Bombyx mori: one gene and its partners. The protein of the gene in region 1 interacts with the protein of each later gene in a pairwise test. Links are inferred from orthologs where the notes say so. Each region holds a gene or a part of one and is shown in the gene's direction. Other genes may lie near its edges.

Region 1 (3,661 bases):
GTGAAATGCGTTCGAGCATCGTAGATTCTTGTTTATTTGTTTTCACGTTACGTGGAAATCGAGAATACCGTTCTATAAAAATATGGAAACAATGTATCATAATTAATGTTGATTACATTTGAGTTTTGTAGTCGCATTTAGTACAAAATATACTTCTATATCTTCTTCTCTATCTTCTATCTTCTATTATAATTCTCTATCTTCTATATCTATATTCTTCTTCTATATAAATGTACTAAATATACATACTTCCGATGAAATATGATTCCTATTTAACCTTAAATCTTTCAATCCTAAGTATCTTGCTTGAATGCCTAAAGAGAGTTATAATAGGAAAAATACTATACTACGGATTTGTGTTGCCGTTTTAATTATTTTCGTTATGTGGTCAGGTAGATCTTACGCTGATAGTATTTTAACTGGTCACTGATAAGGGATCATGGTACGCTAACGGTGCCGCCTCTAGTAGTTTTACGGCATTCAACTTTCACAGTAACAGTATTTTCTCATTATTAAAACTGTTTTTACGGTTTAATCTCGTGTTTTTTATGTTTTGAATACTTTACGGTTTTCATGAATACGGATGACCAAGGCGTTATTCGTCGCCATTTGGAGTAATACTTGTAGTATTCAAAATAAGTATAGTAACTTAAAACTTTTTAGTCGTCGTGGCCTAACGGATAAGACGCCCGGTGCATTCGTGTCGAGTGATGCGACGAGTGACAGTGTTCGAATCCCGCAGCCGGTATCAATTTTTCTAATGAAAAACGTAGTTATCTAAATGTCACGAATTACTTCTATGATGAAGAAATATTAAATAAATAAAATAAATAAAACTCGCAAAAATTATAATTTGGGTCTATTACGATTACGATTCTTGTCATAATTATATTTTAATGACAAAATAAACGCATTTTTATTGTTCGCAGTGCTCAACCTGACGCTGATTGATTTGCCGGGTCTGACAAAAGTGCCAATCGGTGATCAGCCTATAGATATCGAGCAGCAAATCAAAGGGATGATATTCCAGTTCATCAGACGCGAATCATGCCTTATCCTGGCAGTTACTCCGGCCAACACGGATTTGGCCAACAGCGATGCTCTGAAGCTTGCCAAAGAAGTAGACCCACAAGGTTTGTTGAATAAAATTCAAAGTTTATTATTAACATGTATACATTTATAAAATTTATTATCCCATCGCCGAATATAAGGAACGCCGTGTGATTTCATTTAATTATTAATTTGTTAGTAACGACTTTTATCGTGAACGTTAAATTGAACGAAAGCACAATGTTTGCTACAAATAAAATGGTATAAAAGAATACCTGAACAATATTGATTTATCAATGTTTTAATTTTAAATATTACTTGTGTTTAACATTAACAGTTGAAATATTCGCTATTTTTTTAAATTAATTATAAATTAAATTAAATTATCGATATTTGCTAGTTCATTATTGTTTCGTATTTTTTTAGTAAATCATTTTATTACAACTATTGTGTTTCCTAAATATTACCGGTCATCGTTCTCGTCGAATCCGTCGCTTGCGACGAAGGGCTCCAAGAGTAAATTAACCCACAGACACAGCCCACTGAGTTTCTCGCCGGATCTTCTCAGTGGGTCGCGTAACGCGTTTCCGATCCGGTAGTAGATTCTGGTGAAGCACGGCTCTTTTGGTCTCACGTCGTCAGGTTTGAACCCCGTGAGCTCACCTACTAGTTAAGGTTACGCTGAAATAGCCTCTCAAAGCTATCAGCTTAGGTAGGGAAAAAAAAGCGCACTTAAAAAAAATATGTGTATTTTTTCTTGTTTAAACATTTAATTATGCCTTCGTGTTCCACAAGCCGAAACACAAATAAAGACAAAGATGCTACTTTTCATGCATAAGTATTTGTAAACAATTTAAATTGATTTATTTAAAATACACGTCTGGAGCGGCTTAGCGGGATGAAGAAGAGGCGTGAGGGGTGGAGAAGCGGCGGACTGCCAAAGATTATATATACTAAACAGAATCGTTAAAGTTCTGATGGTAACGATCTCTATACGGCATCGTTTCTTTTTGTGAAACTGGAATTGAATAAAATGATATACTATGATATGAAATGATAAATAAATATTCGAATCACATAATTTAATTAACGTGTCGTTACATCTGTTGGTTTATGAGTTGGAAAACTAAAAAAAAAAACATCGGTTTCCAGGATTGCGTACTATCGGCGTAATAACAAAATTAGATTTGATGGACGAGGGTACCGATGCGCGGGACGTGCTCGAGAACAAGCTGCTGCCGCTGCGCCGAGGCTACATCGGAGTCGTCAACCGATCGCAGAAAGACATTGACGGTCGCAAGGACATAGCCGCTGCACTTGCGGCTGAGAGAAAATTCTTCCTTAGGTGATTCATTTGCAATACCAAAACTTTGTTGACGAGTGATAATTCTTTTTTTTATTGCTTTGATGTGTGGACGAGCTCCCAACCCACCTATGTTAAGTGGTTACCGGAGCCCATAGATATCTACAACGTAAATGCGCCACCTACCTTGAGATATGTGTTCTAAGGTCTCAGTATAGTTACAACGGCTGCCCCACCCTTCAAATCGAAACGTATTACTGATTCATAGCAGAAATAGGCAGCGTGGTGGTTGGTACCCTTGCGGACTCACAAGAAGTCCTACCACCATTAATTACGCAAATTTGCGGGTTTGATTTTTATTACACCATGTTATTATTCCTTCACCGTGGAGGTCAATCGTGAACATTTTGTAATAAGTCGTATAATAATAATGAGTTTTTTTTTTGTTTTGTTTGTTATTAACAGCCACCCGTCATACCGTCATTTGGCCGATCGTCTCGGTACCCCTTACCTACAGCGAGTGTTGAACCAACAGCTCACCAACCATATCCGCGACACTCTGCCCAGTCTCCGTGACAAGTTGCAGAAACAACTACTGACCTTGGAGAAGGACGTCGACCAGTACAAGCATTTCCGACCCGATGACCCGTCTATTAAAACTAAGGCCATGTTGCAGTAAGTTCTTAAAGTACATAGTAATACTGCATTTTAATGAAATTGTTTTCGAAATACAATATTTGTATTTTACTAAATGCACCTTGCATTTTATAAGACATATAAGGACGTATCTTTACATGACCTAAATGTGCAAACAATAATTGTCAACAGAGTTAAGCATAGCGCTAGTAACAGTGAAACTCATTGAATATTGAAATCAGAAAAATGATTGAATATTTAAAATCTATTTGTTGATTAGCATTTGTTTAATGCATCAACGAATCGATATTATTTGTTAAAATAGGTCATTTATGGGCAGGATAGGGTAGTTTTCAATCTGTTCATACCTGGTAGAATATAAATGCTTATATTAACCCTTCTTGAAAATAATTACTTTTAAATCATAATTAGTTGGTACATCAACAATAACGCTAAAGACGAACACATCCGGTAGTTGCCGTTGGATTGTGTGTTTTGCATGCAATGTAACAAAATAAAGAAATCAGCTGACACGCGCGGTCATTGACCTCGACGGAACGCTGGTCCGTCCGCAGCTGTTTTCTGTGCGCTTAAAAAAACGACAAGTATTATAATTCTAAATAATGAACAAAGTAGCTGATGTTTATTAATTTATCGACAGAATGATTCAGA
Region 2 (3,761 bases), on another chromosome or scaffold:
TTTAGTGAACCTTAGTTACGTTTTGTGATCTCGAGCTCATTTATAAAATAAAGTTTAATATGAAATTACATTATATACTGTAAAACCCACTATTAATAGTACACATTAACGGTATAGTATAAAATTATGAGCAAGCTTTCTCTTGAGCGTTGTTCATTGACAGTTCTGAGAAACAAACACACAAATGGTTCCATACTCAATAGTATATAATACGCACTAGTATTTATCTATTCCACTGATACCACACTAACACTAATTTTACTCTCGCTTTAGATTTAGGATTGCTTTTGCACTACGCATTGTATTGCTTGTCTCGCTTCTCGTCCTTCCATTGCAAGACAAAATAGTTAAAAATTAACAAAAAAGTACGCTGGACATCAGCTGAACATCAACTCGCAATTTGAGACGTGAGATCGAAGTCTCAACTTTTGGCATCATCCGTAACTTGAGCTGATCGTAACAGAATCAAGTTATGTGATGAGCTATCTTGGGCTCTGGTAGAGCCCCTGGTCTACCCCACGTGTGATCGTTGTCTTCCATTCTGGTCTCCGACTTTTATAAGACGATTATATAACGGTGTTTGTGCGAGCTTCCCAGGACTGAACTTAGCAGGGTCACCTGTTACGTCGTTAATAGTCAGCGGGCGTCCTCTTTGGGTCCTAGCCTAACTTATCACGTTCAATGAGCTTACCAAAACTTCCACCATAGGTTTTTTTTTATTGCGATTTATGCTAGTTGCAGTAAACGAACTCATGTCCCAACTGCTGTTAAATCGTTACCGGAGCCATGTATCAACAACGTAAGCGCATGTACCAACGTGTCCCACCTTGAGATATGAGTTTTAACTCTCCGTTTTTACAGTACAGCAGCTGTCAACCCTTCAAACCAAAACGTAATTAACTGCTTCACGGCAGAAATAGGCATCTAGTGGTACCTACCCATGCAGGTTCATAGGACACCTTACCACCAGTAAAAGGTGGTAAGGCATAGGTAGGTGCTCGACTTACGGTCAAGATGCTCCGTCACATAAGTGATTAGTCAGTTTCACTATTTATTTATCTTTTTAGTATAAGTAGATAAATTTGATATATAGAAAACTAGTGGAAATTGTATAAAATCGATTTAATAGTCTTCAGTAACCTCTAATTTATAGGTATTATGTACAGACATACTCTGCGATAGGACGTGGTAGATTAGAAATTACTAGGTATATTGGTTGAGATAAATTAATGGACATCATTAATATAATCGATCGACCGTGACAGGTGCGTGACATACTGTGACTAATTTCAGGGAATGTGAAAAATTATTTACTCAGGATATCATTTAATAAATTTAAAAAAATACTAAAATTTTCTGTATACATTCAGATTTTCGTGTACGTGTATTTATGTGCCTTCTGCGCTAGATTTCAATAAGTAATGTGATAAAGAGAATGTGGCGTTATTTACGTTTCCTTTCACAGTGATAAGAATACGATAATAAGATAATTCGAAGGATTCTTAGCTTCGGACGAACTCGCTTCATATGGTAATAATTCATTGTTGTGTAACATTAATACTATAATTGTTTCAGGAGGTATGTTTGTATTGTGCACTTCGTGTTTGTTTATCGTTACAAGACGTATAAACAATAAGTGTCTTCTCGTTTAAGCTGGTTATTTAAGTCATTGACAGATAATAATCAATTGTCCAGTAAAACACTTAATCAACTTATTGGCAAATGCTTTCAGATCGGGATCGGTAATTTAGCAGCGTTAATTGGAAGCAAAAAAAAATTACTATTTTTCTTTTGGTTTGGTAATAGCAACATTAATGACAGTGTTCTGCTACAGTATTTTTCACACACAAAAAAACAGCATAGAAGCCCATTTAATTTCAAACTTATTACCATTAAAATCGTAATAAAATTTTAAACTTTATTCTATTTTGATCATCAACCTAAATAATAAGGACAAACCAATTAATAATTCCATACAATACTTCATACATATGGTTAAATTTTCAATACAATGTACAAAATCATTATCAATGTTACCTTTAAACTATAATTACTGCCTTATGGGACAAGTATTCCTAACACCTATAGCCCGTTAATTTAAATTTTATAAAACATTAACTTCAATTATTCATGATACTGAATAAAATGTGAAAAGTAGAACTCCATATTTTATTTTTCTTTCCCAGAAATGTCCAGTATTAAGATGAAACCACAGCCTAAATAAAACAATATTATGCTTCATTCAAAAGGTTTAACTAAGAGCATACACTATGAATGAAAATATATCTTCACTCACTGCTCCAATTTCTGTGTCCACATATCATCAACTGAGCTTAACAGGTAAGTTCAAATACATTTTGATCTAAACTGATTGAAAATTAATCTTGAAATATTTTTGCAAATGATATTAAATGAAATTATCAAATCTTCTAACACACATTGTATATTTTTAGTGGAATCAGCAAATATAAAAAATTCAGGCTTGTTCAAACCAAATCCATACCTGCAAGTTATAATTGATGATAAAATATTGAGAAAGACTGAAGTTATAAGGAACACCTTGCATCCAAAATGGAAAGAAGATCTTACTATTTTGGTGACGCCACAATCGCAATTACTGTTCCGTCTTGCAGATTATCATAGCTTTAGGAAAGACAATGTGATTGGTGAAAAAAAAGTGAACCTATTAAAAGTTTTGTTTTACTGTAATGGGAAATGTGAGAATTTAGAACTTACATTAGGTGAGTTAAACTGAACCAGTTTCTGTTGAAATTAAGAATAATTGAAGATTATTTAATATAGCCTTATAAAACTCTCTTCACTGAGAATTCATTTTAAAATAAGTACAATTTTTCAATATAATAAGAATGTAAAAGAAAGACATTACAATATTCAAAATTTGTGAAATTGTGCTTCATATAAATTCAGTAAACAAGTAAAACAAAACTTGTTGTAATGTTTGCACTTTTTTAGATTTAATGAAAACATCTTCTCAAGAGAATACTAGTGGAAATGCTGAGGTAAAAACAGCAGAACTGGTGTTGCTTCTAGATGGCTTAAGAATTGACCCTGGAGTGTTGACACAAACACGTGAATTACTTGGTGAAACGGCAAATACTGCAGCTCCCCTTAATGAAGGGGTGCGAGCCAGAATCAGAATGCGCAACAATCCTGAGACTGTTAGATCCATGATGCGATCACTAACACTTGGAGTAAGTTGATGTTTCTATTATTTGTATCATACAAAAAATTTAAAATAGAAACAATCCATCTACTACAACAAGGCTGCCTGGTTGAGTAATAACATTTATTCATGAATTATTATTAATTTCCATTAAATTGTTCATGACTAATTTAAGCTTTCCCATTCTATTTTAAAAAGGTTTATCTTTTGATCTATTTATATTTTAGTTTTAAATTACATTTTAAAGTTTTGAGATTGTAAAGAACTTTCATTAAAGAGTAAAGATATATTTTGCACATTCCATCAAAGTATAGTGTTTATATGGTCAATACAACTAAGAAGAAAAAGTTAGTTCTGTATAAATTATTTTTTTCATTTTTAAAGCCACCTCCAGGACCTCCACCAATGAGCAATGGGTCTATACATTTACCGAGTACTGCAACACAGTCATCATCAGAAACTGCAGGCCCCTCACAGCAGTCACGCCTGCCTGGTACACAGGATCCAACATCAACACAGCCAACATCTGCTAATACTGCTTACCCTAATGCTGCTGAGGAGCCTTTGCCTCCTGGGT
Region 3 (3,761 bases), on another chromosome or scaffold:
TTGTCAGTGAACATTTTCCCCATGGAAAAATTGCGTGCTTCTATTGATAACTGGCCTCAACGTTTAAAGGACAGAATTGCAGCCAATGGAGACCACTTCGAATAAGCTTTTATACTTTAAATTGTTTTATATTTATGTATTAAACTAACACACTGTAAAAGTAATAAATGTTATTTGCCATAGAATTTTTGAAGTGAAACTTCCTTATCGGCGTTGGAAAAAAATTTACCGTCACATTTTTCGGTTACGCGTCACATTTTTCCGTTACGCGCCATCTGTTTTGTATTCATGTCTATGATAATAAAATCCTTTTGTTTAAACTTTATCTAATTTAACTTTTTTGTATTCATGTCTATGATAATAAAATCCTTTTGTTTAAACTTTATCTAATTTAACTTTATTTAACCAATTTCTAGAAAGTTGCATGTAGATCATTTTTCGAAAAATAAGGCCATAAATAAGTTTCACTTCTTACGTGTGTACACTAGTACACGCACACATTTTTTTTTGTTTTCCTTTGTAACAGTATTTATGGCCAGACTAAGTATAGACATAGGTATTATTATTAAAGAAAATTTTGGCAACATTTTACACGCAGAAATACCAATAACAAAACAAATATAAATGCAAATGTAAACAGATCAACTTAAACGATTACAAACCGTACGTACCTACCTAGATAATGAAAGCCATCTCGCAAATAACGCAACACACAACGACCAAAACAAGTAACGCCATCTAGTAGAGAGCAGACCAACAACATACGGCCATAATAGAAATCGTATTTCACGAACGTTCGAGCTCCATTGCATACCGGAACATAGGATGGGGTGTAGTATGCAAACAAGAAAAGCGCGACAATGCCAAAGTCGAACAGACGAGTGCAAAGCGAAAAAATGAGAGAATGAATGCTAATATGTATTAGATATTTATTTGATTGTCCGCATTCGATCAATAAGCATTTTTTTGGTTAAAGCCTTGTTCATAATTTAATCCCCGAACCCCAGGACGTAGGAAAGTTTAATCAACCCACTTGTCTATTTATTGGACTAAGTTTCGATCCATAAAAAAACCCACGCACAGTTTACAACATCAAGTTTTCATTCATCGCACTTTGTTAACTTAATTGCGTAGTCGTCGCGGCGTCGTACCTTTATTGAATGGAATTACAACTGAAATCTCGTAGCAGATGTCGCCACTGTGGTGAGCCCGTAAGGCCACCATAACATACCTTTACTTAGTTTGTTATCCAACGTCAGTGCCCATGTGGCTATCACATAGCATTGTAAGGCTACTCGGGTTGATTTCCATGATCGTATTGGCGCATTTTTTCGCTTTTAGCTCTATTCATATAACCTCCATGAAACAGTAGCGACATCTACATTTCATTCTACTGTAAATCGTAACAGTTTTAATTATTAGAAATTTGTATGAAAATTACTGTCGAGTCAATTATTTCACAGCAATTTTCTCTTCACCAGTACATAACTTTAATAAACACTAAACATAATTTTTTTTTAACTCCGCTTAGACTAAGAGATTCTAATTGGTTATTTTGTGTTGCCCGTCTCCTATTGGATGTTGATACCTGATAATTTACTCTGACCAATGACTATTAACCGTGTAAAAGGAACATTTCCTTGCCACATCAACGAGAACATACAAATTTTACACTATATGTTGTAAGAGAACAATAGCTATAGAAAACAAGTTTTGTTAATCTGTCAAACAGATGACTGTACATTCGGGGTATCCGCTTTGAAATTACGTTTTATACTGAAAAACAGTAAGTAAAACGCATTATTTGTGTAAATGTGTTTACATAAGTGATATCGAATCAAAATTGAAGTGCAGAACCGACTAATACTGCGATTGTTCACTGAAGTTCCACAATACACGAGTTCAAAATTGACGTCATTGGTTTGATTTCCAACGCAAAATTGTTGAATTTAAAACCGTTTCACCTTCAAAATCCACCAATACTTCGTTCACATATGAAAACCTTTATGAATTAGTAATAAAAATTTTCATATACATTAAAAATTATTCACATCAAAGAATTTTTAAATAAACATACTACTTTTCTGGGTTTTACACAGCGAACAATGCATTTTCGACGTACTTTTGAATACAATACAAATGCTTAATACGAACATGTCACAATTTCGAGCAGAATCCTAAAACTGTAAACGAGATCAAATTCATCAATTACAGCTAATTGGTGCTATTATGAAACTAGCGATATGTGTCAGCGCCTTACAGCCCACCAATTTCGGCTTCAAATTTTACAACTAAATAAAATAATAATAGTTATAACACGAACATCGCAATTTATTTATCATTTATGTGCATACTCCCTACATTTCTAGATAACACTGATAAGATAAAATTTGTACTCAATGTAACAAACCTTCCTAATAAAATCGTTCAGGTTAATACAATAATCTATTTTGCAATTGTTGTAGGTACGGGTCTTAAAATGGCGACCCAAGTGCAGGCTTTGTATGACTTCACTGGTGAGCCTGGCACCACAGAGATGTCCATAACTTGTGGAGAGGTGCTCACACTGCTCAACACAGAAATCGGAGAAGGCTGGTGGGAAGGAAAAAAATCTAATGGAGAAACTGGTCTATTTCCTGCTGCATATGTCAGAAAACTGACACCAGAAGAATCAATTCAAACTAAAGCTGCTCCTCCAGCACCTAGATATGATCAAGCAGCAGATGACTGGGGCGAACAACACTACAGTGCAGGAGATAACAATTACCAAAGAGGAGTTTCGCATGAAGATGGCTGGGATGATGACTGGGAAGATGATACATACTCAGAGATAGGACCAGCCCAGCAACAAAACAAGACATCGCAGTACAACCAGCAATCATCCATTGTGATTCCCGGTATGCCTATTAATGATTATAATCAACACATAGATGACACATCTTCAAATTATAGCTCATCAGTGGGCACAGTTAGAAAAAACAAATTTGCACCATCTTCAAAGATTAGTGGAGAAAGCTACCTGCTGGCAACCCTTAATGTAGAAGTACCAGACTCTGAAAAGGTCTACATTATCCAAGATGAAGATGGATATATTTGGTCCCCAATTACTCAGCCATATATTGTGACTGTGGCCTCTCCAAAAAAGGAATCTAAATTCAAAGGGATCAAGAGTTTTATAGCCTATCAACTGACTCCTTCATTCAATAATATTCAAGTGTCCAGGAGATACAAACACTTTGACTGGCTCCATGAGAGACTACAAGAAAAGTTCACACTTATTCCAATCCCCCCTCTGCCTGACAAACAGATATCTGGAAGATATGATGAGCAACTAATCGAACGCAGGCGAGTTCAGCTCCAAGAGTTTGTAGATTGGATGTGCAAGCACCCTGTGCTCTCCAGAAGCGAGGTTTGGCAACACTTCTTAACATGTACTGATGAAAAGAGATGGAAAGCTGGTAAAAGGCAAGCTGAAAAAGATAATTTGCTAGGTCTAAATTATTGTGTTTCACTAGTGGTACCTGAGAAAGCATTATTGCAATCACAAGTTGATCATATCACAGAACAGTGCCACACTTTCATTAACAGTGTCGACACAGCCATCAAGTCTGTGTCTAGCATGTGCATTGTGCAAACAAAACGTTTCCAAGGACCATACAAGAGTGACTGCCAGAAAATAGGAGAAGCATTTTATAGTCTTGGCAATGCCTTAAGCTTGGATGAAGGTACCATAGTATCAACATCTAAGCTGACTTCAGCTA

Evidence for each region.
Region 2: the proteins of dynamin (region 1) and E3 ubiquitin-protein ligase Su(dx) interact in binary tests that used the Caenorhabditis elegans proteins (3 or more experiments, as listed by UniProt). The link is inferred for Bombyx mori from reciprocal best matches to the Caenorhabditis elegans genes dyn-1 and wwp-1.
Region 3: the proteins of dynamin (region 1) and sorting nexin lst-4 interact in a two-hybrid assay, tested with the Caenorhabditis elegans proteins (2 studies listed by BioGRID). The link is inferred for Bombyx mori from reciprocal best matches to the Caenorhabditis elegans genes dyn-1 and lst-4.

What each region holds. Positions count from the first base shown.
Region 1 is NC_085121.1:5,669,390-5,673,050, forward strand, and holds part of dynamin, read left to right. Parts: intron 1-929; coding exon 930-1,133; intron 1,134-2,202; coding exon 2,203-2,395; intron 2,396-2,818; coding exon 2,819-3,028; intron 3,029-3,650; coding exon 3,651-3,661.
Region 2 is NC_085110.1:8,433,421-8,437,181, reverse strand, and holds the start of E3 ubiquitin-protein ligase Su(dx), read left to right. Parts: upstream 1-1,155; 5' UTR 1,156-1,265; exon of another isoform or gene 1,266-1,465; 5' UTR 1,466-1,530; exon of another isoform or gene 1,531-1,578; intron 1,579-1,600; exon of another isoform or gene 1,601-1,799; intron 1,800-2,186; 5' UTR 2,187-2,270; coding exon 2,271-2,340; intron 2,341-2,453; coding exon 2,454-2,741; intron 2,742-2,973; coding exon 2,974-3,212; intron 3,213-3,568; coding exon 3,569-3,761. UniProt on the Caenorhabditis elegans protein: E3 ubiquitin-protein ligase which accepts ubiquitin from an E2 ubiquitin-conjugating enzyme in the form of a thioester and then directly transfers the ubiquitin to targeted substrates. Ubiquitinates klf-1.
Region 3 is NC_085119.1:13,643,460-13,647,220, forward strand, and holds the start of sorting nexin lst-4, read left to right. Parts: upstream 1-1,562; 5' UTR 1,563-1,786; exon of another isoform or gene 1,787-2,014; intron 2,015-2,465; 5' UTR 2,466-2,479; coding exon 2,480-3,761. UniProt on the Caenorhabditis elegans protein: Involved in the signaling of vulval development by acting as a negative regulator of epidermal growth factor receptor (EGFR) signaling. Aids in phagosomal membrane tubule formation which is required for phagosomal fusion with endosomes and lysosomes.